Linked DNA regions of Diceros bicornis minor. The protein of the gene in region 3 interacts with the protein of the main gene of each other region in a biochemical or structural test. Links are inferred from orthologs where the notes say so. Each region holds a gene or a part of one and is shown on either strand. Other genes may lie near its edges. The genes, in order: DCAF1, SPTBN1 and NF2.

The links.
Region 1: the proteins of NF2 (region 3) and DCAF1 form a complex in vitro, tested with the Homo sapiens proteins (3 studies listed by BioGRID, with this or other methods). The link is inferred for Diceros bicornis minor from reciprocal best matches to the Homo sapiens genes NF2 and DCAF1.
Region 2: the proteins of NF2 (region 3) and SPTBN1 form a complex in vitro, tested with the Homo sapiens proteins (2 studies listed by BioGRID and IntAct). The link is inferred for Diceros bicornis minor from reciprocal best matches to the Homo sapiens genes NF2 and SPTBN1.

What each region holds. Positions count from the first base shown.
Region 1 is NC_080741.1:52,254,992-52,262,367, forward strand, and holds the start of DCAF1 (DDB1- and CUL4-associated factor 1), read right to left. Parts: upstream 3,037-7,376; 5' UTR 2,868-3,036; intron 1-2,867. UniProt on the Homo sapiens protein: Acts both as a substrate recognition component of E3 ubiquitin-protein ligase complexes and as an atypical serine/threonine-protein kinase, playing key roles in various processes such as cell cycle, telomerase regulation and histone modification.
Region 2 is NC_080751.1:31,959,654-31,967,638, forward strand, and holds the start of SPTBN1 (spectrin beta chain, non-erythrocytic 1), read right to left. Parts: upstream 3,002-7,985; 5' UTR 2,839-3,001; intron 1-2,838. UniProt on the Homo sapiens protein: Fodrin, which seems to be involved in secretion, interacts with calmodulin in a calcium-dependent manner and is thus candidate for the calcium-dependent movement of the cytoskeleton at the membrane.
Region 3 is NC_080774.1:23,186,852-23,194,882, reverse strand, and holds the start of NF2 (merlin), read right to left. Parts: upstream 3,034-8,031; 5' UTR 2,628-3,033; coding exon 2,514-2,627; intron 1-2,513. UniProt on the Homo sapiens protein: Probable regulator of the Hippo/SWH (Sav/Wts/Hpo) signaling pathway, a signaling pathway that plays a pivotal role in tumor suppression by restricting proliferation and promoting apoptosis.

The DNA.
Region 1 (7,376 bases), on a different chromosome or scaffold from region 3:
CATAAAGGGAAAGTTTAAAGAAAATACTACCTCTAATAAAGGTCAGCACAAGCACAGTAAAATACTAAAATTTTCAAGTTCAATTTAGACACATACATACTTCTGGTATCATTTTCAAAACTTCTGATTAATTATGCCTGAGAATAATTATAATTTTGAGAATAATCACTTGCCCAGGGAAAATATAAACTTACAATAGACTAAAACAATAATATCAATGATAATTCATTTTAGTATCAATGAAAAACTATTAATAAAAAATGTAAAAGGTGCAGTCATCTTGTTATACACAAAACAATGAAGGTGCATTAATCAATTTACTATGTTTGAAAGTGAGTGCTTTAAGTGGTATGCAGAATTTACAGCCTGCCCTATAGTGACACAACAGTTACCACTTAGTGAATAATAGTACGGGACAGACATTTGGCTAAGTAATTCACTACGTTATTCTGAATTTTCACAACCAACCTTCCCCTTTTTTACAAATGAGGAAATGGGCTCAGAGAGGGCCCCAAAACCAACCAAGTGTTACTCGGTAGAAAAGGGTTTCAAGCATCAAATCCCAACTCTGTGGACAAACCTGTGAGATCTCGGTCAAGTTATTTAACTTCTCCAAATCTCAATTTCCTTTTCCGTAAAATGGAAATGGTTCTTGTGAGGGTAAAATGATAATACTGTTCATACAGTGGAATAATATAAAGCCCTACAAAAAAATACATAGAATGTCTTTCTTCTAAAGCATGGCTGCCAAGGTATTTAGGGGTATGATGTTTCTGCATCTTATTTCCCAACGGTTCCACAAAATAAAGAAATATACACCACATTTATAAATAGAAAAAAATATGACAAAATAGTAACAACTGTTGAATCTGGATGGATAAACAAGTGTCATTTTACTATTCTTTCAACTTTTTAGTATGTTTGAAAATTTTCATAACAAAAAGAGAAAAAAATTAAGAAACATTTCCTTTCCTAATTTGAACCAACTCTCAAATATATTGTCAAATGAGAAAAGCAAAGTGTGTGTGTGAGAGAGAGTGTGTGTGTCCCTAGAATAAAATATCCCTGGAAGAATACACAAGGAAAGGATAATATCTATCATGTGTTAAGTAATTGACTTTCTGAGGGTTAAAGATAAGAGAAAGATTTTTCTCTGTATGTTATTACCCCAGCTCTACAATTTTTCCACTATTTTGTAACCTTTCGTAACTTTTTAAACCATAAAATCTGTCCTCTTCTAATACACAATACTGAATGGCATTCAACAGAAACTATCCCAAAGCCTAAAATAAAGTCCACATTAAGGACAGATTCCTGCAAGGTTACAATCCTGAAACAAACATCTGAAAGCGTTCTTCCTTATTTTAAAAAAACAAAAAAATGGGGGAAAAAAATCCAAGTTTGGAACTTCAAATAAAATTTATCCAATAATTAGCATGACATATAAGATCATGTGTAACAATTGTCTATTCCTGTCCATGACCATCTCCTTTACAAAAACAATGTAAGAAAACTGGTAATAAATCAACTTCAGTCACTTCAAACTAACAAGTGGTTCATTCTACCAGACTCCTCCTCTATTAAATTTAACAACTGTACAACAGAAAGAACAGCAGAACACTGCTCAGCAACCACTCAAGAGATTTTGAGCATAAAATGATCTCCTTTATATTCCCCAAATTCTGTATCTATTATCTCAATATCCACAAATATATTACCGCTGGAAAGCGCATAAGGTAAAACTGCTATATAGAAAACCCAAATCTCGACAGCAACAAGCAGAAAAATACCAAACGAATTCCTAAAGAGTCTAAATATACAAGCTTATATAAACCTTAAAGGTAAACTCCAGTAAACTGGAGAAAGAAAATTACAGAATGACACTGTCAATGAACCTCACTCTGTATATTAACAAAGCGTTTAGAACAGGAACATGCTGCTAATATAAATTAATAATTAAAGCACGTAGACTAATTAAAAGACATCATTGAAAAGACAGAGTAAGGAAAAACTGAGGCCAACATGACGTGAACAAGGACGAGTCATTTGGGACTCAAAAAGAACTACTACAAACACTCCAAAACCACTTCAACAAATGTGAAACCCGAGCGCTAACACTGCAATAAGAGGAAGTGACACGGACAGCATCTAGGAAGAGAAGAGCCAGTTAAGCAAATGCCTCTGACACCACAGTTAAAAACAACTATAAAACCCCCAGAAATAGGCTCCCGGGAAGCTTGGTGGGCACTTGGAAGGTTTGGCTCCACGCTGCAAGCCCCGCACACCTCTCTCCACCCCTCCGCTCCACCCTCGGTGTGACAGAACTGGGCGGAAAGCTCCGCCCCCCTAACCCGGGTCCGAGAGCCGGGCCACGCAAGGGGAGGTGGCACGAGGCCGAGGGAGGGGAGAGCCCGCCCAGGTGACTGGAGCTGGAGGCGGAGACAGTCTGGGAAGGGGCCCGCCGTACGGCAAGGAAGATGGAGCCCCCCAGCTCGTACGGAACCGAGACTGGGAGGATTGGGAAGAAAAAGGTGACGAGGGGAATAAGAGGCGCCCTTCCTCCTGGTAGGGGTGGCACAGTCCTGCCCCCCACTCCGAGCAGAAGAGTTACTCTCGGAAAGCTGCTTTCGCGGACTGGAGGAAGAACGTGGAGGCCCCGCCCCCAAGCCAAGAATCTGGAGGAGGAAAAGTCCTGTCAGGCCCCGGGCCCAGCCTCCCCAGCGGGCCGGCCCGCCCCCTCCCCGCCGGCGGCCCAGGCAGGTGCCGCCCCTCCCCCAGCCCGGCGCCCACTCTCCCGCCCGCACCGCCACGCGCCTTATCTCCTCGCGCCCCTCCCAGAGAGCCGTCTCCTTCCTTTCCCCACTCACCTTCCCGGGCGGCTCCGCCGCTCCCCCCTGACCCCGCCAGTGGCCACAGTTCACACACACCGCCTCAGGTCCCGCACTCACTCTCCCTCACTCACACACAGCGCGACCACGGCTCCGGAACGGCCCACATATTATGCGTCACTCGCGTGCTACGTGCCCCGCCCCCCCCCGCGCGCGCGCGCGCGCGCCCCGAGTTGGCGCGGGGCTTGCTGGCAGGAGGCAGGAGGAGAACGCCAGCGCCAACGGAGGAATATCGACGAGCCCCGGGGCCGCCGGGAAATGAAGTTCCGCTTCTAGGGGCAGGGCCCACTAATCTTGATTTGCGCGTAAGCACTTCGCCCTCGCGCATTGACTTCTGGAATTTGTAGTTTTTAGCATAAACACCAACTGCTGTGTACTCATTGGCTGCTTCGGTAGGCGGCAGCGAAAAGTGAGGCACTCAATGCTCCCAAGCCAGGGCTGTTAGGGCTTGATACCTTGTCAGTACCTTTTCTGCCCTGTGTGACAGGGGGGAGTCCTTGTTGTATTCTCTCGTTTGCCCCATTATACCTAGAACATACCAGGATGTAAGAAAATATTTCTGGCAAGCATATCAGAAATCATAGCACTCATTAAATACAAGGCACTGGTTTTCTTTGTCTTTCTGTTCAAGACCTAGCCTGTAGGATCAACAAATATTTATCCTAGGTAAGGAAAAAAAATCAAAAGGACATAGAGTAAGGCAGGGCTGACCTCAGAGGTCATCTAATTCGTTTATTTTGCAGCTGGGAAAAATGAGGCCCAGAGAGACTGAGTGACTTGCCTAGCATCACACAACCAATTAGCTTGGGAGCAGAACCAGAACTATCCCTGACTCTGACTCAGGGATCCCTTTTTAGGGACATGAAAGATAAATGTGACTCCACAGCTTAACAGAATCTCTCCCTCACAACATGCTACCCAGCTTTTGTCTCCCTGGGAGTCCTGAGCAAGTTTCTGTGCATTTCTATGGAGTCCTCACAGCCAACACTTTCATGGGGGAACACAGGACACAGCAAGCCTGCTGCCATGCTCAGGTTCTGTAACTAGTAAGAAGTTAGCCAGAGCCTAGAAGCTTGATTCCATTCCCCACTGGACTCCATTCCCCTTCTTTCCAGAAAACAGACCTCTCTCCTTCACTTAAGTGTGTAACTTGGAGCAGGTGTTCAGGCACAAAATTCTAGAATGTGGAGTGGCAGCACTGCAGACATGTCACCTCTCTGCAACCCTTTCACCCACCACAACACACAGCTCTCTTCTCTGTGCTTCTGGAACTTTGCCTATATCAATAATTGTCACTACCATTTTCTTTAACCTTACAGCAGGCTCAGCTCTGAGCCAAGTTTTTTACCCACACTTTTTCATATAACCCTCACTACCACTCCACAGGGTAGATTTGGTTAGCCACATGTACAGATGAGAAATTTAAGCCCAGAGAGGTGACCCAAGGAATGGGGACTAGTTTTGTGGGTTCAGAGGCTGGACTCATTAACTTTCCTATGCCTGTCCTCCAGCACTCCTTCAGCTGACTTTCCTTAAGTCACTTTCCTAACGGCCATGCCTCCCTGGGCCATGAACCCAAAATACATGAGGATAGAGTGTTCAAGCCTTAGATACCCTCCTTCTGTCCTTGGTCTAGCCAGCGCCTTGGTGACTTTCCCCGCTGGTCCTGAAAGGCAGAGCCCTTGTGGGAACCCAGGGTCCAGCTCGCCTGCTCCTGGCACTGCCTCAGCCTGCCACCAGATGGCACTACTCTCCTTCAGAAACCCAGCCTGGAGCCCTGGGTCAGTAATGGGAGTGAGGGGCATCGCAGAGGGGGTTTGGAGAAGCCAGGGCCCAGGAGGCTGGGAAGCAGACCAGGAGCTATAGAAAGCCTGTCTAGCAGCTTTTCCGTCCAGATTCTGTGCTCTGTAACTCCTGTAGCCCCCTTACCCCTGCCAGCACCCACACCCACAGCCCTACACTTGCAGGCACTCCCAGACTCCCACTCTGGGACTCCCACTGTGAATCATTGGAAAGATATTCCTTGGCCTCCTTGAAGAATATCTCTGGAATCTGTCCCCCCTGCTCTGCCTGTGCCCACCCACTCTATGATGTGCCTCAGAAAGCAGCAGCCACCATCCAAAAGGGCAAGGAGTAATGCTTGCAGGACTGCCCAGTGTCAGAGAAAGGGCAAAAGGGGCAAAAGCAGCCCAGTCCTGGCCCCAAGGGCTACACACTTAGCTATGCTCCACCCGGCCTCACCCTCAAGCATGCCCATGCACTGGGGTAGGAAAATCGATAGCATCAAGTCCTCTGGGCTTCAGGACACTACTCATCTTTCTCCCTCTCTTCACCCTATCACCCTTCTCTCCCATCACCTACTTCCCAGTCTCACCAGAGCCAGGTGCTCCCACCAGCCCATCCCTACCCTGGTGCCACCACAACTCCTGTGCCTCCTCCTGCAATTCCCCAGGGCCAGGAGGTGAGGCCAACTGTCCCACATCCACTCCCGCTCTGCTATTGGCTGAACAAGACTGCTACTGCAAGTGTCCAGGAGTCACAGGAGCTGCCAAGGAGAGGCTCGGGCCTGCTAGACTCTGGGAACCCCAGTCTGGACAAAGAGAGAATTCCATTCATTTACTCAGTGACTTCCCCCTGCCTGGGAGCCCCAACAGCCTCCTAGAAAAGTGGAACACTACCCTCATTACACATGAGGTATGCAAAGGAACCGCTCCTGTGTGACTACATCCATGCCCACCACTCTCGTTTTACAGAGGGAGAAATTCAGAGTTCCCATAGTTTAAGCCACCACCTTGTCCAGTGATCACAGCAGCTGCAGTTTCCAGAAACCAGTCCCCACCTCCTGCTCCCACAAGCACAACTTCATAGAGGGGCTTGAGGCTCAAGTGGGAAATGAAGCAGTGACCCTCAGAGCCACCCCAGCTTCCACATACCAGGGCTCCAGCCAGAGCAAGGAGCCCACAGAGGAGGCCCATGCAATATTTAGGACATACTTATATTTTCAAAATTATTGTTTATCTGAAATTAAAAGTGCACCAGTCATCTTATGTTTTATCTGGCAATCCCACTCAAAACCACTGCTCTGCCACAGACCACAAGGACTCCCTTCTGTGGCCCCCAGGGCCTCCCTTAAATCGTTGCAAAATAGTTAGAAACAAATCAGAACAGCTGCCTCCCAATGGGTCTCATTAAAAATTAGATAAGCCAAGCAGTCAAGTCTCCCTTATCTAAAAGCTGATGATCTGGGTGATATAAGGCTCAAATCTCCCTTTCTACCCTTTTCTCTTTAACCCTATTGCTGATGGTCAGAGATGAGAAAATAGTTTTTCCTCTTTATTGGGAAGAGTTTGCAAAAGGAGACAGGTCAGCAGCTGAGTCCAGCTTTGGAGGCAGACAGGCCTGCATCCTAATACTGGTGTTCCCATTTACCAGCTGTGGGACCTTGGCCTAATTGCTTCACCTCTCAAGCTTCAGTTTCCCTGCCTGGAAAATAGAAATAATGATACCTCCTTTCTAGCATTGTTATGAGGATTAAATGCGATAATGCATATAAAGTGCTTAGCTTGGGGCCTGGCACACAGTAAGTGCTAACTACATGATAGCTATTCCTATTTGGATTATTCTCAGTCTGCAGCAGTCCCAGCGCAGTTCTTCAGGACCACCTCATCCGGGTCTGGTTCCTCTTTCCTCCAGTACTGCCTGCTGGAAGAGCTCAGGCTTTCCTCATTTAAATGAGAAATGAGCTCCTTATCAGAAAAATCCTAGGGCACATTTACGGAAGCACTGGGAAATAGTAGAGTAGCCACTCTTGGAGATCACCTGTTCACTCTCAGCAGAGAACTGAAAACTGAGGGTGTCGGAGGGTGCATTTAAGAGGATCTGCTCCTAGGCCTCCTCATGCCCGCAAAGGCTACCACTGATCAAGGGTGAAGCCAAGGAGCCCCTTGGATGTGATGCCAGACATATCACCTTCCCCAAACCAGCCCATGGTCCCTGCCTCCCTGCTGGGATGAAGCTTGCATCTGGAAACCCTACCCAGAGCACACCCACTTCCTTCCATGTGGTTCTCAGGCAGGATGGTGATGTCACAATCAAAGTAGAGGCCAGAGGGGGTGGCCAGAGATGGTATACTCTGGGCCTCCCTCACAATGGACCTGCCCAGCACAAACAGGGGCTGTAGCATGAAGAGGGCCAAACTCTGCCGTCCAGGTACTCCCAGGACCTGTCAGATCTCCCAGCCTGGCTGCCACTTATCATCTGACTCCCAGAGGCTATGCTCTAGGTCAGAGTTAGAGGTTGGGAGACAGGGCAGGGAAGGTAAGGAGAAAGCACTCCAGCCTCTTTTGTCTCAGGTTCCTGGCATTGTAAATCCTTCTGGGAAGAAACAACAGTGGAGTCAGCATTGGAGAGAGAAGCCCTTGGATTTTTGGCATTGCCTGTTTGTAGCCACAAGACCTTTCTACAGGATTCAGGGATCTCTGGCCTGAC
Region 2 (7,985 bases), on a different chromosome or scaffold from region 3:
GTAGAGAGTGAGGCCTTCTCACTAGCTCCTACAACATCTCAGACAGTTGTTACTAGTCTCACCCAAGAGATGCTCTTCACAGAAAGCCTGCACAACAGAAGATGACCAGGCGCTGGCAGTTTCTTCACTGCCGCAACGCTTCTCATCCTCTCAGTTGAAGGTTTTGGTCAGTTCAGAGACACAGAATTACAAAGAGCTTAATCTAACAGAATTCTGCAGCTGGTGTGTAAGTCAGAACAGCTAAACCTCCTGTGACATCAACACAGGATATTTTCTTACAACACAGTAGTAAATCCAAAATGTCTGGATAATCCATGGGAACAGTACTCCCAAACATCTTTATGCAACATGATTTTATACAACCAGCACAACAATGAAGGCCAAACCCAAAAAGTTCTACATTTTAATGGCCCTCTATCAGAGAAACTCAAAATAATGCACATAAACCACACAATTTGCATTCAGTTCTACTCTGCAGAGCCACATAAAATCAAATGCCACTAATTTGGATTCATTAGAGATTTAAAAAATAAAAGTAGACACGCCCTTGCTTTACAACACTGACCTTCCCTTCCAGTTAGAATACTAAATTCTCTTTTTCACCTATACATTTTAGAAGAGCTGGGGTGACATTTGAAATGCATCTCATTTGCCATTCCACACTGAATAAATGAATTGTCGAAGTGGCATTTAGAAGAAAAATTCCCTGTGTACTAGTCTAGACTAAACAAGACATAGGGAACCATCTCCTTCTGACCAGATAACAGCCACAGCGGCCTTGGGGGTCTGCCTTTCTCAACCCCCTCCCCAGCCACATCTGCAAAAAATATTTATACGAAAAATACATATAAACAAACATAAACGCAGTCAGTTACCATCACAATCCCATTAGTCATAACTGGAGACAACTTGCCTATCTAAATCAATCTGAGTACTTACCATCAATTATGACACTCATTTACCTAATAATCCTTAATAAAGAATCCAAATATGTAATTGTACTTGATTTACAGAAAAAGCAAACAATAAAAACAAAGCAAATACAGGTTAAAGAAACCATTTACTATCCATCAAAAAATAGGTTCCTTTTAAAACAATCTACTGAATGTCAGTATTTTTAGAAATGCCTCAAGGACACAAAAACTAAAATATATCAATCGCTTCATTTCAAAAAATGGTTTCCTCTAGGAAAAAATCCTTCTCCGTATTGACCAAAGACCGAGGTACAGTAATGTCATAGCTGCGAAGCTCCAATTAATAAACATGAACTTTCACATATGAAGAAACCGAAGGATAGTGGGGTTGTAGTTACAGATCATGGGTGATCCACAGAAAGACGCTGCGACTCCCAATACCGAATGCACCACTGCCTCCGCACACCGCTGGGCCCCGTCCTCCCTGCTGCCCCTCCCTACGGTTCAGGTCCCTCGGTCGGAGATCAGATTGCGGTCCGCAGCCGCAGGCCGGCTCCTTCTGCCCGCATTAGCGCTGCAGGGCGCCCCTTCATCCGAGCATAGCCCAACAGGCGGGGCGGAAGGGGGTCAGCCCAAAGAGAAGCCTCCCCCCTCACAGCGAGGTGACCTGGTCCTCCTGACGCCACATCCAGCTGAAGCAGCATGACAAGGTAGACGCAGCTCCGAGTCTCGGCCAAGGGCAGCCCCGGGCCTGGGTGGGGCCGGGCGGGGGCCGCAGGCGCCGAGTGGCCGTGCCAAGCCCCGCCAGCGAGAACCAGGGGAGGCTGCGATACTGCTGCATTGTGCTGCATCACGGCGAGGGCACCGTGAGCCATCCATCTTGCCAAAAAAGCACATCCCCGCCCAAATAAACCCCACCGAATCCATTTTTCTCCCCCACCGAAGCACCCCCACACTCGTCCTCTCCTAACTTACTATCGGGCCTGGCTTTTGACTGCAAAAATGGACACGGTTTGTGTACTGATCCCCACATTTCCCCTCCCCATCTGATGGCAAGCACTGGGCATCTTTCCTAACAGAAAAACAAAGGGAAGTCTCTCCCCCCCGAAAAAGAGGGCCACGAGCGTGGTGTGAGGAATGATGACGAGAGGGGCTTCCAGCCTACCACCCCAAAGGCAGGCCCGGAGGGGCTCCGCGCTGGTACAAACCTGTTGAAGAGAGGGTGGCAGGAGCTCAAGGGCGGGCGCAGCGGCGGCTCGGTGCCCCGAGGCGGCTCACGCCCAGCACTGGGAGAGTGGGGACGACAGGGAGGGCGGGGAGCGGCCGCGGAGGGGGGAGCGGGCGCGAGGATGGGCGGGGGTGAGGGGCGCCGGGCCGCCGCCTCCGGTTCAGCTGCAGCGCAGCGCAGTTCGGACCACGCCTGGCAGCATCCCCCGTACCGTTAAGCCTAGAGCCCGGCCCTGTCAACGCCGCCCCGCTCCCCACCAGCCGGGACTAGAGGGAGGCCACCTGAAAATACACCTTCCCTGCAGCCTACTCCGCACCCACCCCCGCGCCAGGGGCCGCTGCGCCTGGCTGGAGGGAGGCGGCGGCGGACGCAGGGAGAAGGAATCGGCGCCACTGCGCCCGGGGATGAGGCTGGGCGGCCGCGGTGCGCACCGCTGGTCTGCGGCCGCCTCACTGCAGAGCCCACCGCCCTCTGCCCCGCATAACCCTAGCAATAATTAGCACTGGAGACCCAGGCTTCCCGCGCCGCCCCCGCCCGGGCTCTGCAGCCTCCCCGCCCCCACGCCGCTCCCCCGGCGCAAGGCAGCGGCAGGGCAGCTGCGTCCTCCCGGCCTGGGCCCGCGCCCCTCCTCCCGCCCGCTGCCCGGGAGGCAGCCCCAGTGAGTTGGCATCTTCCAGCCTCAGGCCCCCTACCTACCTCCCGCGGATAGGGGTGGGGGCGCCGGAGTCCCGTCCTCCTCCCGCTCCTTGGCGGCCGGGCGGGTGGGCCGGGAGGCGACTCCGCGGGGCTGTCCGCGGCTGGGGCCGGGGCTCACAGGACGGGACCAGTGGGCGCTGCTGCGCGGGGCTGCGCGCTTGCTCCGGGCGGAGAGGCGGCCGAGGGAGGGACTGGAGGAATCCGCAGCCTGCACGGCAACAGCTGCACTGATTCCGGGGGCTGGGCGGGAGCGCGAGGTGGGCGGGAGGAGGGGAGGGAGCGCGCAGGGAGGGGGCGAGGGGCGGGGAGAGAGAGCGCGCGGGCGCGGGCGCCGGGTGCGCGCAACACGCGCGCGCACATGCTCTTTCCCGCACACCCTCCGCTCTCCTCTTTTCTCCTCCGCTCCTCCCTCCCTCGGTCGCTCCCTCTCGCCTGCCCCCGCCCCTGCTGGCAGCCCCGCAGCTGCTCACCCAGAGCCTGCTCCGCGCGCGAGCGGATCCTGGGGCGCGTCCACGCTTTCCCCCGCCGAGGCTCTGCCCCCGCCCAGCGCGGACCTCGTCGCCTGCCGCGGGGGCTGGCCGGGGCTGGCCTGGGCAGGATGGGCACCGTCGCCGCCGCTACCGGAGCAGAGGGACAATGAGGGCTTTGTCCCCACAGCCGGCGAGGGCCAATTTCACGTTTAATTTGAGGCTAATTCGATTATCGCCATGGAAAGGCGCAGCTTAATTTTCTGCGTGACTTGTGCAGCCTCTTTTCACCCGCGATGTTTGCGTTTGGAACGCGATGGAGAGAGCGTGCTGAGGGAGGGTTTAGAGCGTTGGTTGGCTGGTTTGGTTTTAGATCTAGGTGGTGTTGCCTTATAGGTTCCGCTCAGCCTGATGAAGAGCGATAGTGACTTCTCCGTGGGAAACCTTGGGGCGATGAGGGGAGGGAGGTGGTTCTTCGGTGAAGTCAAGATCTTCCTCCGTTGTGAGTGCTTTTTCATCCTTTCCCTCGGGGTAGCTGGGAACAGACCCCACAAGTGATTCATCCAACTCCTGCCTCTCGCCCAAACGCAGGCTTACTTTCACCTGAAGCGATGCTTTTCCGGAGCCACTCCTACGGAGAGGGGACGTCCCGGCTGCAGTGGAGGCCTTGCGATGGCTGGAGGGGCCGGAGTTCTCCCCCTACCCACAGTACGAGACGGACTCCGGACCTTTTCTCGAATTTTTCTCAACTGTCAGTGCCCCTTCCCAACCAGCTTGCCCACCCTGTCAACCCCCACAAGGCTATGTAGAAATTCTGGAACCGCCACTGTTGGGGAAAAAAGATGGTGTCATCACCAGGGCCATGAATAGAAACGCTCTTTAGAAAGCAGTCTGGAGAAAGTGACTTTCTGCTTGGTCTGTAGGTGTCCAACTGCGGCACTGTAAGCCTTCAGAAGGAAGAAGGCTTTTCTGGGTTGAAAAAGCCCCTTTTTCCCTAGAGATCTGACCCTCAACCCCTGAATAAAAAGTAGAAATAAAAGGCAGCCAAATAGTTTGGGTCATGCTTATATTTCAAATCAATAGACCAGAAGCCTGATGGGTTTATATTTGTGTGTATATATATTTTGTGTGTGTGTATGTGTGAGAAGATTGGCCATGAGCTAACATCTGTTGCCAATCTTCCTCTTTTTGGTGGGGAAGATTGTCCCTGAGCTAACATCTGTGCCAGTCTTCCTCTATTTTGTTTATGGAGCACTGCCACAGCCTGGCTTGATGAGCAGTGGGTAGATCCACGCCCAGGATCAGGCCTGCGAGCCCCGGGCCGCCAAAGCGGAGCGTGAGAACTTAGCACTGTGCGACCGGGTTGGCCCCTGTATATATTTTTTAAATGAACATTTTAAAATAAAACTACATGAAATTGTCCCAGCAAAGTGAAAATGATTCTTCCTTTTAGGCATTCACCATCAGTTTGAATGTTTGTATCAATGTTTACATTTGATATTTATGAAAAACAATGAAGGCAAGTAATTTAACATTTTTCTCAGAAGATTGATTAACATAGCCAGAAGGGGAACTGTCCAAGGGCCAGGTTCTTTGACTGTACATAGCAGGCACTTAGAAGGTGATCAAAAAATATTGGTTGAATTGAATGGAACAGAATCGGCATGTAAGGGCTGCCCTCATTAGGTAATACAGGAAATCCACTAGGAATGAGAGTTGTTTCCCTTTCACTTAGTTTGTGCCACGGCCCCCAGCACCTCCCCACCCACAGTGTTGATGAAAACCAAAGAAAACAATGGCAGTACTGGGAAATGCCTGTTGAAATTTTTCCAGTGTGATTCTGAATTGGTGTCTCTTGACTGCTTCCTTTATCGCAGATAACAGTACTTGAATAATCTTCATTTGATGGATGAGTCACCTCCCCTACCCCATTCCACTCCCACTTACTTTTTTTTTTTTAATTTTTTTTGTGTGTGTGTGAGGAAGATCAGCCCTAAGCTAACATCCATGCTAATCCTCCTCTTTTTGCTGAGGAAGACCCGCTCTGAGCTAACATCTATTGCCAATCCTCCTCCTTTTATTCCCCAAAGCCCCAGTAGATAGTTGTATGTCATAGTTGCACATCCTTCTAGTTGCTGTATGTGGGACACGGCCTCAACATGGCCAGAGAAGCGGTGCCTCCCTGCGTGCCTGGGATCCGACCCGGGCCGCCAGTAGTGGAGCGCGCACACTTAACTGCTAAGCCACAGGGCCGGCCGCTCACTCCCACTTACTTTTAAAAATTTCCTTCAAAAAGGGAGGCCTCACATAACCTTAGCAAGGTACTCTAGTAAAGTGGCAGTAAGTATTCCAAAAATGTGAAAGACAAGGATTCAAAATTTCACTATTAATACCTGCCTCACAATTTCAAATTCTTACCCTTTGGTGGAAAAATATCATCACCCAGGACAGCCCAGTGTACCGCCGACCAAAAAAAAAAGTAACAGGTCAAAGAAAAGACAGTCTAAGTCTGAAGAGATTATTGGAGAAGAAATACATCTCTGTGGAAAGCAAGAATCTAGAAAAAGATAAAAAGCCTTGGGCAGTAATGATGGTAACAAAGAATTATTCTCAGATATCTCAAAAGCAGCTTTGCTGAAGTGTAACTTCACATTAGCATCAAGGTTGATGTAAAGGAACCTAGAACTCATTGATATCATGTCTGTAACATACCCCTCTCCATTTTTAAAACCATGTGATTATATATGGCTTTAACTCCCATAGAGGCAGTACTTTATTACAAAAATTTTGCAGAAATAAATTGTTATTTTAACTTTCCATTCAAAATGTAGGAGGAAATCTTGTCAACATATATAGTAGTCACTATAGACTAGGTTATCATGTTATAACTCACAGTCCCCAAATCTCAGTATAATATGCAAGTCCCAAATTAACAAAAGCTAATTTATTACTTATATAAAGCCAACTGTGGTTTCAAGATACTCTCTGGGGAAGCTGTCTTCCATGTGTCAGCTCAGTTTTCCAGAATACTTTAATATTATGGTACCTCCATGTCAATGGGCGCTTCCACAATCTCCACTGTAGGGGGAGTGTGATGGAGGGTTAAGTACCAGCAACTAAATACTTCCACCCAGAAATGATGCAAGGTTTCCTCCACTCACATTTCATTTGCCAAAGCAAGTCATGAGGCTACATCTGAAACCAGATATTGATGCACAGTACTGTTGTGCGCCACTGCCGGCTACTTTAAGTCTTTCCTTGGTTATATTAACCCAATTAAAATCCATCTTTTATTGTACTGATAATAGCCTAAAATTTAAAAATCAGAACACATTTTGAAAACTTGAATAAATTTTTTTCATTTCTATTTACTCTGAAACGACTTTTTTTTAACCCCGAGCTAGTCTGGGAAGTTTCCTCAGATTAGAAATGTTCCATTTGGTTATTCACATGTATTAATTTTGCCCTGGGAAAACTTAAAGACTTACATGTTTAAACTGTCATTATTATGAGTGAGTATTTTTTGAGTACTAACAATACATTTATTGTATAAAATAATTCATTTTTTCATTTATTTGAGAAATGTATATGCCGTAATCTGTTCTAGGATCTGAAATAGAGCACTGGGCAAAACAGTAAAAAAATCACTGCCTTCATGGATCTTCCATTCTAGTAGGGGATAGAATCAATCAATAAATAAGTAAAATATATATGTGATAAATCTGAATATATGGTAATCTAAATATACAGAAATAACATAAAATGATCAGAATAAACAGTCTCAGCTTTCTATAAACGATCTTCAAATTTTCTTTTAATAATCATAAGCAGCGACTATAAAATACTTTCCAGTTTTTAACGTGCTTTAGCAAATGTCATATTATTTTGTCCTTTTGTCAGTTCTGTGGGGTAGATATTAACCCCATTTTATAGGCAAGAAAACTGAGACACTAGTAGGTTGAATGAGTTGCCCAAGTTTACACAGCTACTAAGTGCCAGAGATATCTGCTTAGAAGCTAGTATATCAGAGCTATGTGTCTGGTCATTGCATATTAATTATTAAAAAGTAATTCTGTTTGCAAGATGAAAAAAATTCTGGAGATGGATGGTGGTGATGGTTGTAAAACAATGTGAATGTACTTAATGCCAGTGAACTGTACACTTAAAAATGGTTAAAATGGCAAATTTTATGTTATGGATATGTTGCCACAATTTTCTTTTTATTAAAGAATTTTTTGTTTTGTTTTGTTTTGGTGAAGAGGATTAGCCCTGAGCTAACATCTGTTACCAATCCTCCTCTTTTTGCTGAGGAAGATTGGCCCTGGGCTCACATCCGTGCCCATCTTCCTCTACTTTAAATACATGGGATGCCTGCCACAGCATGGTTTGATAGGTGGTGCATAGGTCCACACCTGGGATCTGAACCTGCTAACCCCGGGCCACCAAAACGCGAACGGAAGTGGAACGGGCGTACTTAACCACTATGCCACCAGGCCGGCCCCTATTACCGCAATTTTTTTAAAATTCTTAAAGTAATTCTGAATTTAGACCTCTAGAATAGTAGAGAAGATGCTCTCTTAATGCTTCTTCACTTAACCCGCTTGTTGGATTGCACTCTTCACTCCCTCTGTGTTGTAAGTGTATTGACTGATGTCCATGGCAAACCAAACACACTCTGCT
Region 3 (8,031 bases):
TCTGTGAGCATATTTATAATGTATACTTTGAAATTTTTTTGTTAAATCTGACATCTAGTAGCTCTCACAAGCAATTTCTGTTGCTAGATTTTTCCACCGTACGGATCATACTTCCCTGTTCCTTTGCATGCCTCATAATTTTTCATTGGAAACTAGACATTTTAGATAACATATTATAGCAACTCTGAGGACTGCCCCCCCCCGCTCCAGGGCTTATTATTATTATTTGCCTGTTTATTTGTTTAGTGACTGGCGAGACTGTTTTAGTGAAATCAATTTCCCTCATACAGTGTTAAGGCCTATGTTGTTGCTCCTCAGGGAGGTGCATCTCTGGGTATGCCCACAGTCACCCTGGATGACAGTGGTTTTAGCAGGGCTCTGTTCCTCTCCTTCCCTGATCATGCCCAGCTGTTAAACTCCACTCACTGTGGTATATTATTCTATTATTTTCAACAATGCTCAGGGTGTAATTTGCTCTACAAAGTAATCCAATCAAAAGGTGGCTTTTTGAGGAAACAGTTTCTGAAATTAGTGTTTGATATTTGTTCTGACGCCAAGAGGGCTCTTCCCAGTTGTCTTATTCCCTGATTCTCTCCTGCAAACTACTTAGCCTACAGTCTAGGCTGTTATCTTCATTAGATCTACAAAAGTCCTCCCAATTGTCTTTCACCAAAACCTCCACTGTTCCTGAGAGTACCCTTAAGCATAAACTTCTCTGCTTTGTTGCAAATGAAGTCACTACCTTTGGGAAGAGATTAGAAACCAAGGGTTTTAAAGCCTGCTTCTCCCTCCAGGCAAAATCTCTGAGCCCTTGGTGGAAGGGGGGATGGGGGACACACTAAACTGAAGTCTTTTCAGTTTGCCTCTCCTGGCTGGAACTACCATCTCACAAACTGAGGTTAGGGACAAGAACAACTGGGGTCCAGTATTCTCAGTGTGCCACCAGGGTACAGCCCCCATTCCATAAGTAGGAGCTGGGTGGAAGAAGCAAGTTCCATCTTTCAACTTCACACACCCAGGACTTAGCCTCAGCAACAAGTAGCCTTGGGCAAGATGAGAAGCTCTGAAGTCCTGCTCCTCCTGGGAAGAAAGCCACCTGACTGGGAGCCAGGAGTAGAGGGAGCCCTGTGTTCTGGGTTACAGCAGTCTAGAGTGGAATTTCTACCTTGCTGAGCTGGGAGCAGGGAGGGTGGTAGCAGTCTTGGTTCAAAGACCACAAACTCTCACCTTTCTTACCAAATTTTGATAGATTTTCTTTTTTTTGTGAGGAAGATCAGCCCTGAGCTAACATCTGATGCCAATCTTCCTCTTCTTGCCGAGGAAGACTGGCCCTGGGCTAACATCCGTGCCCATCTTCCTCTACTTTATATGGGACGCCGCCACAGCATGGCTTGACAAGCGGTGCGTCGGTGCGCGCCTGGGATCCGAACCTACAGACCCCAGGCCACTGCAGCAGAGCGTGAGCACTTAACCGCTATGCCACCGGGCCGGCCCCTTGATAGATTTTCTTGAAAAGATGTTTCTTCACTTGATGTTTGCCCTTAGGACCATTTCCAGAGGGTTTAAATTACTGTTTTTTCAAATAATTTTTACCAGTTTTACAGGGGACCAGCTCAGTGGAGCTCCTCACGCTGTCCTGATGGAAGCTGACCCTGTCTAAGGCTGCTTTTGTGCTACATGGTAGAGCTGAAGAGGTGTGAGTAGTTGCAACCGATACCCTACAGCTCAAAAAGCTGAAAATAATTACTATGTGGCCCTTTACAGGAAAAGTTTGCCAACCCCTCACCTAGGTCACTGCTGCCAATGCCAATCCATAGACCACCCTTTGAGTAGCAAGGACCTAAACTACTTGAGAGGCAGTACTGTATTGGCTAAGAGCTTGATTCAAAACCTTACTTCACCATTTACTAGATATATGGTTTGGGGTACCTACCTCATTGGGTTGCTGTGAGAATTAAATGTATGAATGCCTGGCACTTAGAAAGTATTCAATACATGATAACTTATCATCATGATAGAAACTCTACAGAAAGTTTCAGACACCATCTCATTCCTCAAACAGTTTTTTTCCAGAAAATTTAAGTTTTGGAAAAGAGAAACAAGTACAGACTTTCCAATAAAATGACATGCAACTTTTAATACCAGGGGTACATAATATTATCTAATGAAGTAAAACCTCTATAGAGCTGGAGCTGAACCTGCCACTGAAAACTAGAATTCGCTACCACGGATGCTTCCAGCCTCTTGCAATAACAATGAATGAAAACCTTCAAGAAGTGCTTCCAAACCCAAAATTGAAAAAAGCAGCAATTATCTTTAATTTGAGGATTTGGGCCTAGATGGTTCCTTCTGGTTCTAGCAGTCTCTACCTATACCCAGAGATGATATAAGCAGAATCCCTCAAGCTTCCACCTCGACTGTCACCGTGGCAAGGGCGCCCGGGTTGGTGGGGCCCGGCGAGAGGATTCTGGGCTACCCCTCTCCGCAGCCCGTCGGGGCTGCCGGCCGGTTACCTCGCAATTGAACTCCATCTCGGCGTCCATGGTAACGATCCGCACGGTGAACGTCTTGGGCTGCTTCCTCTTGAGTGAGCTGAAGCTCATGCGGGAAGCGATGGCCCCGGCCATGGCGCGGGGCTCAGGCCCGGGACCCTCGTGCCCCGAAGCCTGCGCTCTGGGCCTGTTAGCCCCCCTGGAGGAGCCGCACAGGCCTCAGAGCCACCATGGTGGCCGGCCGGCCGGCCCGGGAGCTGTCTGGGTGGCGCGGGCCCCCAGCGGCCAGCATGGACCGCGAGGACCCTGCCCCGGGAACGGAGAGGGGACTTGGGAGGCGGGCCCTGACGGCCGCGGGCAGGGAACGCGAGCGCGGACCGACGGGGCGGGTACGGCCCGGCGCTCCGGGACTCGGGCCGAGGACGCTGGGGACGCCCGTGTATCAGCCCCTAGACAGCGGCGGCCCAGACTCCGGGCGCCTCTCAGCGGCCGACGGAGGTCTCGGGGCCGCGCCGCAGCCGGGCGCGCACGTGCGCGCGTGGCTGTCACCGTCCTCACTCCGCGCACCCGCGGGAAGCGTCCCCTCCCCGCAGCCCCGGGCCTGCTCCCCGCCCCGCCCTCAGGCCCCCCAGATCGCTACACACAGCGCACCCTAACAGGCGGCCTCCGCCCAGACGCCACGGTTGGCTGAGAACTCTGAGGAAGGCGGGACTTTCCCTGCTCCGTCCAGCCTTCTTCAGAACGACTCCACCAATTGGAAGTTCCGCTCTGACCGGCGGCGGAGGCCTGGGCTCGGCGTTGAGTGGCTATAGCGGCAGTCACTCCGAACGCTTTTGTTCGTAGGGGTACGCCTACTCTAGCAAGGCTGGTTGAGGCGGCGGAGCCCGGCGCGCCTTTCCTGGGAAACCGCGTAGAGACTGGTCCAGGGGCGTGGGAGTTGGCCTGTATGGACCGAGTACGCGCCGTGTGTGGCGCCCCAGGACGTCGTGTTTCGGACACCCGGAGGCTAATCCTGTTTGGCATTTAATTAATTACATTTATTGACCTCTATGTTTCTCGAAAACTTTTGAGTCAGTTGTGGAGGCCGCTTAGGTTGCCAGCAGTCTCCTCCAGATCCTTCTGCCTCTCTTTAGGAGAAATATTATTACCAAAGGGGTGGGGGATAAAAATTGTACCTACTTCATGGAGTTGTTGAAAAATTTAAGTGAGTTAATATATATAAAGCTTTAGAACGGTGGCTGGCGCATACTAGGTTGAATCCTATGAAATTGCTGTTTTTGTAGATCAAAAACGGCCGAAAAAGGGAAGCATTTTTTATTTTGTTCTCTGTGGTTTCCATTTTCGAACCATTAACGTGCATTTATTTTTTTTAAATGTCATCAAAGGTTATAACGTGTGTGTATGATGGGGGATTATAACTTTATGTACTTAAAAATAAATTCTAAGATAATTGAATAAAGACAATTTCATGAGTTTTAACTGAACAGTAAGGGCTCCATGAGTGTTAACCCTCATTAGCATCGTCCCCACCCTACAGCTGAAGAAACAGGCTCAGCATGACAGAGCCACTTGCTCCCAGTCACCCAGATAATGAGAGGCCAAGCTGGGACCCAGGGTGATCCCACTGGGTATTACCACTGCACTGCCCTGCTTCCCTGGTTGTGGCTTCCAAATTGCTCCTGTTGCTGCCTGGAGAAATATGAACTACAGTTCTGGAGCACTCAGCAGACACTTGCTGTAACTATGCTAATAGCATAAGTCTGGCTCTTCCCCATGGGCGCCTACAGCACCAGGAAGCACCAGCCAGGCCCCAGGAGTCACTTGCTGGCACGCTCAGCAGGGCTGCTGTGGTGGAACATTATGTCTGTCTACTCACCAAAAGATTGTTCAGGGCAATATGGGCTTGGTGTGGGAGTGTCTTCATTTTCATCGCTTCAGTTCTTACTTGCAGGAGGGAGAATTGGATTCTCCTATAGTCTCCCTACAGGGACAAAAAATCAGGGTTTTAACCCAGGGCCAAGGCTGCTGACAGAAAATAAGAGGCTCTGGGAACCCACTGAGGAGTAGGAAGAGGAGGTGGATCACACAGCAGGGGCTAAAAATGATATTGATGGCCAGTAATAGCTCGCTTTTATGGAAAGCTTACTAGGTGCTAGGCACCGTGCTGATTGGCTAAACATGCCAAATTTAATGTTCCTGGGGGGACATCCAGACCTGGATGTCCATATGGGTCTGAATCTCAGAAGGGAAGCCAGGGCCAGAATTAAAATAGATGTGATGGAATATTATGCTGGCATTAAAAGTGCCATTCACAAAGAATAAACAGAGATGATAATAGTACCTACCAGATAAGGGTTTGAGAAGGAATAATTCAGATAGAGCTCGTTACAAAAGACCTAACACACAGACACCAGTTAAAATAAATATCTATTGAACGAATAAGTGAAGAATGTGAGGAAATACTATGGTCTCAACTATGGAAACAATATTAATAGCTACCATTTATTAAGTGCTTACCATCTAAGGTATTCTGCAAAGGATTTTGCATGCTTTATTTCTTTTGATCTTTATCAAGATCCTATTTGGTACGTATTGTATTATATTCCTAGTTTATATATGAGGAACTTGGATAAAGCTGAAATTAGGTAATTTACCGAAAATCGTAATTGGTAGAACTGCAATTTGCATTCAGGACTGTTTTAATCCAGATCTTACCTGACTTACATTTCATTCCTCCATTCTTCCAGAAGATCAGTGGTTCTCAAAGTGAGGTCCCTTCCCTCCAGGGACATTTGGCAATGTCTGGAGATTTTTTTTCTGGTTGTCACAACTAGATGGTGTGCCTGTCCTCTATGGCTAAAGGCTAAGGATGCTGTTGGGGCTGGCCCAGTGGCGCAAGCGGTTGGGTGCACACGCTCCGCTGCCATGGCCCGGGGTTCGCCGGTTCGGATCCCGGGCGTGCACCGATGCACTGCTTGGCAAGCCATGCTGTGGCGGCGTCCCATATAGAAAAAAGTGGAGGAAGATGGGCACGGATGTTAGCCCAGGGCCAGTCTTCCTCAGCGAAAAATGAGGAGGATTGGCAGATGTTAGCACAGGGCTGATCTCCTCACAAAAAAAAAAAAAAGGCTAGGGATGCTGTTAAACATCCTACAAGGCATAGGACAACCCCGTACAACAAAGAAGTATCCCGCCCCAAGTGTCAATAGTGCCAAGATAAAGAAATCCTGCTGCAGAGCAATGGTTCCTTTTTTTTGAGTCAAAAACAATCTATTGAGAATCCAATGCAACCAGTGGACCCTTTCCTCAAACGAATGCACACATGCACAGAATTTTGCATATTGTTTTAGGAGATTCATGGAAAGACTCATCCAAGCACATCTATGAACCCCAGAATAAATCAGCTCATCCCCCAGATTAAATCAACTTATCCTCAATGCTACATGTGAGTTCTAGATTATGACCCCTCTGCCAAAAACTGGACTCCGTCGTTTTTGGCCACTTGCAGAATTACTTTTACTGCACATTAGCACAAAGACAGTGTCCTGCACTGAGGGTGTTATAAGAAACAGCCCTGAGGAACTCTGACTGTCTTTACAGTAGAGATTTAGCTGACAAAGGTTCACACAGCATCCTTTCTATGAAGACCCATGAAAAAAACAACTCTTATGCCCCAGTACTTGTATTTCTCATGAGAGGCTGATTTGCTTTTTATTTTTTTAATAACTTTTATTGTGTTTTTCCTTCTTTTACAAGTAATCCATATGCATTATAAAAAGGAAACAAAAAACGGCAGATAAGCAGTGTGGTAGGCATAATTCTAAAATGTATCCCAATGACCCACAGCCTTGTATAATACTCCCCCTTGAGCATGGGCAAGACCTACGGATATGATGGGATATTATTCCTGTGATTATGTTACTTTATATGGCAAAAGGGATTTTTGCAGAAGTAATCCCTAATCAGTTCAGTTCATTAAAAGGGAGATTATTTTGGGTGGGGCTGACCTAATCAGGCGAACTCTTAAAAGGAGGTCTAGAGGTCCAGCATGATGGAGAGAGTCAGAGAGATGCATTCCTGCTGGCTTGGAAGAAAACAAATATCCACGTTGTGAAATGCCTACGGGGCCACAGTGGAAGGAACTCTGGGTGGCCTCTGGGAATGGAGAGTGGTCCCCATCTGGCAGCTAGCAAGCAGAGGGACTTCAGTCCTACAACCACAAGCAGCTGAATTCTGCCAACAACCTGAATGAGCTAGGAGGAGAATCCTGAGTTCCAGATAAGAACCGTGATATGGCTGACACCTTAATTACAGCCTTGTGAAACCCTGAGCAGAAGATCATGCTACGCCCAGATTCCAGACCCGTGACACTGTGAGATAATAAATGTAATTACCACTAAATTTGTCATAACTTGTTACACAGTAATAGAAAACTGATACAAGCAGAAGGAAAAACAAATTTTAGCTTGCATAATCCACTGGCCCACTACTTTCATATAGTACATACTTTTTTGTGATTTGCTATTTTCTCATTCATTAATATATTATGAATATTTTCCCATATCATTAAGTATTCCATAATATAATTTTTGAAGAGCTGCATAGGATCCCATGTATGGGTGTAATTTTTTTTCTCTCTTACACACGTTGTGAACCATGTTACCAATCGTGTTTCTTTCTTGGAGTTTGCTGTTAGGAAGCTCAGAGCCAAATTTGAAGTCAGCCTCTGACAATTGTAACTGGCCTTGCCTTATCTTTGGCTTCATCTTATTTTTCCTGCCCTTATGCCTCACTTTGCATTATTTCCCCACCCACTTACTGTTTATTTGTTGCACTAGCTGTATTTCCTTTTATGAAGTTATGGATCCCTTACTTACAGGTTTTTTTTGTTTATTTATTTTTCTTAGGTCAATACTTTATATAGCAAGTGTTTTTTACATATATATAATTTTTAAACTTTTTTTTAGAACTAATATTAGACTTAAAGTTTGCAAAAATAGTATTCTCTATATCCTCACTCAGCTTCCCCTAATGTTAGCATACCTACTTAATCACAGTACAATTATCAGAATCAAGAAATTAACATTGATACACTACTATTATCTAAAGTAAAGATTCTATTTAAATGTCACCAGTTTTTCCGCTACTGCCCTTTTCTGTTCCAAGATCCTATCCAGGATCCCACAAAGCCTTTGGTTATTTCTCTTTAGTCTGTAATAGTTTCTCAGTCTTTTTTTTTTTTTTTTATGACCTTGACACTTTTAAAAAGAGTATCGGCCAAATATCTGTTGAATTTCTCTCAACTCGGGCTTGTCTTGTTTTCTCATGACTGGACTGATGTTCTAGATGTATTTTTGTAAGCTCACCACATTCCTGTTGGAGTGCGGTAGAGATAGAAACCAAACAAACTAAGAGGCTCTGGCCTGTCTGCAGCCTGAGGCTCAGGAGGTGACTTGAGTCATTAATCATCACCTGGCCCAGGTGAGCTGGGACCTAAGATTTCTGAGGCCATGGCCAGGACATGTTCCAAAGCCCTATC